Linked DNA regions of Tribolium castaneum. The protein of the gene in region 1 binds, or shares a complex with, the protein of each later gene. Links are inferred from orthologs where the notes say so. Each region holds a gene or a part of one and is shown in the gene's direction. Other genes may lie near its edges.

Region 1 (4,291 bases):
AACTCGCTCGTGATCGTACTGTTCCTCTCGGGGATGGTCGCCATGATCATGCTGCGAACCCTCCACAAAGACATCGCAAGATACAACCAAATCGACAGCGGCGAAGACGCCCAGGTCCGCTTCAAACCCTTTTAACAAACTCGCATTACAATCATTTTTACAGGAAGAGTTCGGCTGGAAGCTGGTCCACGGCGACGTCTTCCGCCCCCCGCGCAAGGGAATGTTCCTTTCGGTGCTCCTGGGCTCCGGCGTTCAAGTTTTCTTCATGACTTTGGTGACTTTAGCTTTCGCCTGTCTCGGGTTTTTGAGCCCGGCAAATCGGGGGGCTTTGATGACTTGCGCTATGGTGTTGTATGTCCTGTTGGGGTCGCCAGCTGGGTACGTTTCCGCGAGGATTTACAAGAGTTTCGGCGGCGAGAAATGGAAGTCTAACGTTTTGTTGACCTCGATGCTGGCACCTGGGATTGTCTTCGGGCTGTTTTTCGTAATGAATCTGGTGTTGTGGAGCAAAGGGAGCTCCGCAGCTGTGCCTTTCAGCACTTTGGTGGGGCTGCTGGCGCTGTGGCTGCTGGTGTCGGTGCCTCTGACGTTCGTGGGGGCGTTTTTCGGGTTCAGGAAAAGGGTAAGATTGTGACCGCTGTCAGGACAATTAAAAAAAATGTTTTCAGGCACTCGAGCATCCGGTTCGGACGAATCAAATCCCGAGGTTGATCCCCGAACAGTCGATCTACACGCAGCCGATTCCCGGAATTGTCATGGGGGGTGTGCTGCCCTTCGGTTGCATTTTCATCCAACTTTTCTTTATTCTGAATTCGATCTGGTCGTCTCAGATGTACTACATGTTCGGTTTTCTGTTTCTAGTATTTATAATTTTAGTAATAACGTGTGCAGAGACAACGATTCTTCTGTGTTACTTCCACTTGTGTGCGGAGGATTACCATTGGTGGTGGCGGTCGTATTTGACGTCCGGGTTTACAGCAGTTTATTTGTTTCTGTATTGCTGTCATTACTTCTTTACGAAATTGCAGATCGAGGATACGGCGTCTGCGTTCCTGTATTTTGGCTATACTCTAATTATGGTGTTTTTGTTCAATTTGTTAACTGGGTCGATTGGATTTTTCGCCTGTTTCTGGTTTATTAGGAAAATTTATAGTGTGGTTAAAGTTGACTGAAATGTACTTTAATTATTGTGATTTTTACCAACAGAATATTTTTAATAACGTATTTATTTTCGTTTCAATTTCAAAATTATTGAAGCGCACGAGTGGGCGAACATATTTTTAATAAACATGGATAACTCGCATCTAAAACTTGTGATGTATTAATTTTGTGTACGCAACTGTAAAATATTGTAATAGAAATAAATTGTATAATTTAGTATTTTATGGAAAAAGTCCTTTGACAATAAAGGATTGCACAATTGCACATTTTTATTTTCCCTTCCCTTCGTAATTAAAGACAAATATGATTTACATTTTTATCCACAAAAAGTTATTATTGTCAAGACTGAAGGTCAACAGAGGCCAAATCATTTCTTCATTGATATCAGCATCATTATGATAAAAATCGCATTTTAGTTAATAGTGTTAACAAAACTGTGCCATTAAAATCAAGATAAAAATGCCGTTGTGGGCCTCATTGTTACAAAAGTGAGTACTGTTCTATTTTAGTGATGACTTGGCAACTTTACAAAATTTTCTTCAATTAAAACACGTTCCATGTGCAATTACTACTCACTACTTATGTCATATGTGTTTTTGCCATGGATTTATGGAAAAACTAGACTTTTTTTACTATTTTAGCACAAATTTCGGCGTTCAAATAACAACAAGAAGATGGAACAGTACTTTGAGAAGGATAGATAAATTATTAATTGCAAATAGAGGTGAGATAGCTTGTCGTGTGTTGAGGACTGCCCGCCGGTTGGGCGTAAAAACGGTCGCGGTTTATAGCGACGCTGATAAGAATTCGTTACACGTTTCACAGGTAGGTTTTACCGATAAAAATAAAATATAAATAAAATTCAAAGAAAACACAACAATAAACACTAAAACAAAACTGACATTTTCATTATTTCCATCGTTCCTTTGTTAGTTTAGACTAATTTTTGATTTTTTTAAATGGTGATTATTGGTATTTAGCTTTTTTTTTATTCTAAAATAAGGAAGACTCACAGTTTAAACTATTGGTCGTAATTATGTAATCTCTAAACCTTATCGAGATTGTGAAAATTTTGATCGAATGATGTTTTTTCCACTTTTACGCTCTTTTAATTTGTACATTAGACTATTTTATTTAAACCGCACATTAAAAGAATTGTAAAAGTATTGTGAGTTTTTACAAGGATTTTAATCTTAATTTAATCATAAGCCATTATTTTTTCTAATTTCTGATTTTTTGACTTTTTTCTCGAATAAAAATTTGCGAAAATTTTTGAATTATCAGAAATATATAAAATAAAAAAATGTTTTACTAAATTAAACAAATAATAAAATTTTCCTGTGATTTCTCCATACTTTTTAAGGCTAGATTTTCTAAGAATTTTTGCTTCGAAAAATCTCGACCAGTAACCTTATACTCAGGTTGTAAAAATCTTTTGGTCTCTTAAAAAAGTCACGCAACTCACAATAAATAAATTTAAGTTTAGTGTAATTTTTTTGTAATATTTAAAAGAATAATGTGTTATGCGGAAGTAGATTTGTTTATTTATTTTATTTAGGTATGAGAAAAACGCCAACCAACCAACAAACTTCTCTTCATGTTTTATGTTAATATTTTACATTCTGTATTACTGTTATTATTTAATTTGTTGAAGTTGGTCATTGTAAATAAGCAAAATTCGTATAAAAATAAAGAATTTTCCACTTAATCTAATTGGCGATTTTCTCCGATTTTTCTCTATTATTCTGAGGAAGTTATTTTTCGGTAAAAATACGAAGAAATAGAAACAGTTATACATGTTGGAGCCAATTTTAGCCAATTTTTTGCGAAATTTCTCGAATTCAGTGTTTTTCATTACGAAATAATACGTTCGGATCTGAATGTGCGGTTTAGACGAATGCTCTGTTAAATAAATAATTCTACCAAATTATGGGTATTTAATAGGCAGATGAGGCCTATAACATCGGCCCTCCCCAAGCCTCGCAAAGTTACCTCCGAGGTGACAAAATTTTAGAAGTAGCGCACAAATCCGGCTGTCAGGCGATCCATCCAGGCTACGGCTTCCTTTCCGAAAATGTGGAATTTGCGGAAAATTGCGAAAAAAACAAAATCATTTTCATGGGCCCTCCGGCTTCGGCGATTCGCGACATGGGAATCAAAAGGTACACTCTCCACTTTCCATTCTCCCACAACTAACTTTTCAAAAGCAAATCGAAGGAAATTATGTCGAAAGCCGGGGTTCCCATAATCGGGGGTTACCACGGGGAAGACCAAGACAGGGCCAAGCTCAAAGCAGAAGCCCTGAAAATCGGATTTCCCGTCATGATAAAAGCCGTGAGAGGTGGTGGCGGCAAAGGAATGAGGATAGCTCTCACGGAGTCTGAATTTGAGGAAGCCTTGGAGTCGGCCAAAAGTGAGGCGCAGAAAGCTTTCGGCGATTCTGTGGTGCTTTTGGAGAAATTCGTGCAAGAGCCGAGGCACGTGGAAGTGCAGGTTTTTGCAGATATGCATGGCAATGCTGTTCACTTGTTCGAACGGGATTGTTCGGTGCAGAGGAGGCATCAGAAAATTATAGAGGAAGCGCCAGCGGTACTTCTTAAATTTTGTGTTATGATTGTAAATTGAAATTTTTAGCCGGGAATAAGCGAAGAATTGAGGGCTGAACTGGGGGCTGCTGCCGTAAGAGCTGCCAAAGCGGTTGGGTATGTGGGGGCCGGGACGGTGGAATTTATTCTAGACAGGAAAAGTCACAATTTTCATTTTATGGAAATGAATACGCGATTGCAGGTAGAACACCCGATAACGGAGATGATTACAGGTAACGCCGCTCGACAAAACATTGTTAAATAAAACGCAGTTTTACTTCCTAAAAACTTGCACAAGGTTTTGGATTTTCCATCGTAAACATTTTTAATTAGATGCTTCTTTAATAAGGTTTTATGGTAGTTTCAGTGAAAACTTTCAGTTCCCGCTTGCGGTCTCTCGTGTTAACCATTATGCAAATTTTTTACCAATAAATAATAGCGCAATGCTTGTCTCAAACAAATGGGAAATATTCGTTTAAATTCGGAATTATCCTTGGCTTCGTATTTGATTTAGGAACCGATTTGGTGGAATGGCAAATAAAAGT
Region 2 (3,037 bases), on another chromosome or scaffold:
GACAATTTTATACAAAGAGCTTCCTCATTCGGTTCTTGCTTTATTTTATTTTATAAAATATGGTTGTCTTTTGTGTTTAGGTTTCATATTATTAAGTACTCATGCTAATTAAGTATTGAAAAAATATATAAAAAAAAAACAATTGCCACGTATAATAAAATAAGGCAAGAACAAAAAAATCCTTTTGTGTGTAATTGTCAATAAACATTTTACTTTATTTCTTCTTTTGTTTATAATTTCATATTCTTTTTTTTAACAAGAAAGATGTGTGGAAGATATGTAGCTAATATTAAAACAGTGGACAAATATGTCTGTTGTCATTAAAAAAAAGTCATTACTCAAAAACAAAAATGACATCATAAATGTCACTATCGTGTCAGCAATTAAAAAATTAAATCAACCCGTTCGAGCATTTTTTTGAAAAAGCACCAACAACGAAGATATGTATTGTACAAACTTGAATACGTTGAAAATGGTGTTATTTCCAACGTATTCAAGTTTATAAAAGTTTCAAGGACGAATTGTGTGCTTTTCTTTTAATTCAGTCAAAAAAATAATAAAAAATTAAATTCGATAATTAAATTTCTTAGAAAAAATTCGTGAGACGTTCAAGTTCAAGCCTTTTAAGAAACAGATTCGTTGTCACTGCCGGGAGAAAATTTTAAAACAATTATTTAAATCTAAACGATTGAAGATAGAAATATGATTTTAGTGGATTTTTTTGAAGGAAATTTAATTCTTTATAATTCTGTCTATTAAACATTTTACCTCTTTATCCATATTTGTACTGATTGATAAAATATAGGGCGCTCATTTCTCGTTAAACAAATTTCTAGAAATTTTACACACTTGCTTACTCGACGTAAAAATACAAAAAAGAAACTTTTAATCAGTAAATCAAATTTTAAGGGACCGTCCCTTAACTCTGAAATTAGTTGTACAAATTCTTTAAATTTACTCGAAACTACTGCATGGAATTACATGTTTTTTTTTTTAATTTAATAATTCCAAAGAAGTATTTGGAATTTATAATATTATCTTTGGAATTCATGAAATTACTGGAATTCTTTTTGGTCCGAGAATTACAATTAAGAATTACACGAATTATTTTGAAAATAGAATTCACTGTTCAATTTTTGAAATTCAATCAGAAATGCTTGAAAAAATTATCTTTGGATTTATAGAACTACCGAAAATTTGTGAATTTCATGGTTGAGCTATAAATAAGTGGCTTCAAAAAGGTCGGCTAATAATAATATGATTTATTCCGAAAAAATCCATTAGGCAAAGAATACCCCAAAAAGTTCAAGAGAATATTTATAGCTACAAGTAGATTTACTCAAGATTAAGATTAAAACATGTTAATATTAAATTCGTTGTACACTAAAACACAATTCAGACACTTACATAATAAAAGACGAGAATAAAATAAGTTTAATTTTTTGACAGTTTTATCTAGTTTAGAATACTAGTAAATAATTTATTTTGTTGGTAAAGTTATGCCTCTTGGTTTGCGTTTAAAAAATCGATTACTTGGTAAACTAAATCAAAATTTTAGATTGTGATAAATCATAACAGTGTTTAAGGCTTAGTGAAGATATGTAGTTATTTAACTATAAACAGTTAATTAAGAATCGTAGTACAAAAAAATTTCTGCGATCTCATTCATTATCAAAATAAAAACTGTGTGAATGTGTCTTATCAAAGACACATTAGTAAGGCCAATAACATCTTGACAATTTTAAGTAACTGTATCGTTTTCGTTAATTTTTACATGTCCTTAAGAATTCAATACTAATCTCTCTGAAATTTTTTGTTTGCTTTGTGCTGACCGCATTTTAAGTAGTCATTTTTTATTTCATTACTCTTAAAATTTTGATGGAACAACTGCTACATCTGGCGACGCTAACGGAAATAAGACTGGACATTTTATGTGTCCTCTTGGTGCCTCCTAGTATTTAATTCTTCGTGGACTACATTAAATTGCAAAATTTTTCAATTTGAATTTATTTTTTAGGCATGTGTGGGCGCTCCTATTCGCCCCGCTTTTTGTACATGTGGCCAAACGCGCGCATCTCGGTAATGGGGGGCCGTCAAGCGGCTGGAGTTCTATCTCAAGTGCAAAGTAAAGGCAAAAACTGGACGCAAAAGGAGAAGGACGATTTTGAGGCCCCCATTATCGAGCAGTTCGAACGGGAAGGATCGCCGTATTTTAGCAGCGCTAGGCTATGGGACGACGGAGTAATTGACCCCAAAGACACAAGGAAGGTGCTAGGTTTAAGCCTGGCAGCGGCGCTAAACGCCCAACCAGAAAAAACCGAATTTGGAATTTTCCGCATGTAGACATTTAATTAAATCACATTTTAACAGTGTCTCGTTTTTCAATATACCTCAATTGTTTCTTCTTCATTTTCTTAATCTTACTCGTGTTTGTTATGACTTGGACTATTTCGGACTTTTTGCGGTTTTCTTCTTGGCGTTTCAGGTTTTCTCGCCGGCGTTGCTTCTTCTGTTCTTTCTCTTCGTCTTTTGCAGCTTTGATCGCGCGACTTGCGTCTTTTATCCTTTTAAGTTCTTGTCTCAAGACTTGTTTCTTTTCAAATGAACTGCGGATTCCTCTAGTTTTGATTATAGATGAAAATTTCTTTTTCTCGTTCTTCCAAAAACGCCCCGACTTGGGTTTGCCTCGAATTACGTCAGGCTCTTTTGACCTTTAGGACTACATGTAGTAAAGTGCAAACCAAAATATTTTCAAACTTACTTCTTTTTTGTAGATTCACTAGTTTTTTGTACCCTACTTGCTTTAGTATTAATTTTTGTCATTTTTCACACGTGTTTAAACGTCAACAAATTCAGATTATTTTTGAGGTTAAAACATTGTAAATAATCATGGATGCCAACAAAATCAACTTAACTTTCTTTTTCTAACACATTAGCGCGACGCTTATGACAAGTTGCTCAAGTTTGTGACACTGGTAGGATTATTTTTATCAATTTTATCACAATTTTTATTTATTAATCTTGGTGATGGGTCTGT

Evidence for each region.
Region 2: the proteins of Mccc1 (region 1) and Mccc2 are in contact, whole or in part, in a cryo-EM structure (PDB 8JXM), measured with the Homo sapiens proteins. The link is inferred for Tribolium castaneum from reciprocal best matches to the Homo sapiens genes MCCC1 and MCCC2. Residues at the interface, in NP_064551.3 of Homo sapiens: Glu519, Phe526, His531, Asp532, Phe534, Ser535, Pro536, Phe537, Ser538, Ser539, Ser540, Ser541, Gly542, Arg543, Arg544, Leu545, Asn546, Ile547, Tyr549, Thr550, Arg551, Tyr568, Tyr636, Leu637, Ser641, Glu644; in NP_071415.1 of Homo sapiens: Leu56, His57, Val60, Glu61, Lys64, Asp88, Ile91, Pro93, Gly94, Ser95, Pro96, Phe97, Leu98, Glu99, Gln102, Ile123, Gly124, Arg125, Gly128, Glu130, Arg234, Trp276, Leu278, His281, His282, His285, Lys298, Lys299, Leu300, Ile304.

The regions. Positions count from the first base shown.
Region 1 is NC_087398.1:7,347,050-7,351,340, forward strand, and holds the start of Mccc1 (methylcrotonoyl-CoA carboxylase subunit alpha, mitochondrial), read left to right. Parts: upstream 1-1,490; 5' UTR 1,491-1,620; coding exon 1,621-1,649; intron 1,650-1,802; coding exon 1,803-1,986; intron 1,987-3,105; coding exon 3,106-3,323; intron 3,324-3,368; coding exon 3,369-3,750; intron 3,751-3,795; coding exon 3,796-3,979; intron 3,980-4,260; coding exon 4,261-4,291. Other genes in the region: TM9SF2 (transmembrane 9 superfamily member 2), read left to right, coding at 1-114, 164-622, 669-1,172.
Region 2 is NC_087396.1:10,362,018-10,365,054, forward strand, and holds the end of Mccc2 (probable methylcrotonoyl-CoA carboxylase beta chain, mitochondrial), read left to right. Parts: intron 1-2,017; coding exon 2,018-2,343; 3' UTR 2,344-2,356; downstream 2,357-3,037. Other genes in the region: coiled-coil domain-containing protein 86, read right to left, coding at 2,357-2,711, 2,762-2,823. UniProt on the Homo sapiens protein: Carboxyltransferase subunit of the 3-methylcrotonyl-CoA carboxylase, an enzyme that catalyzes the conversion of 3-methylcrotonyl-CoA to 3-methylglutaconyl-CoA, a critical step for leucine and isovaleric acid catabolism.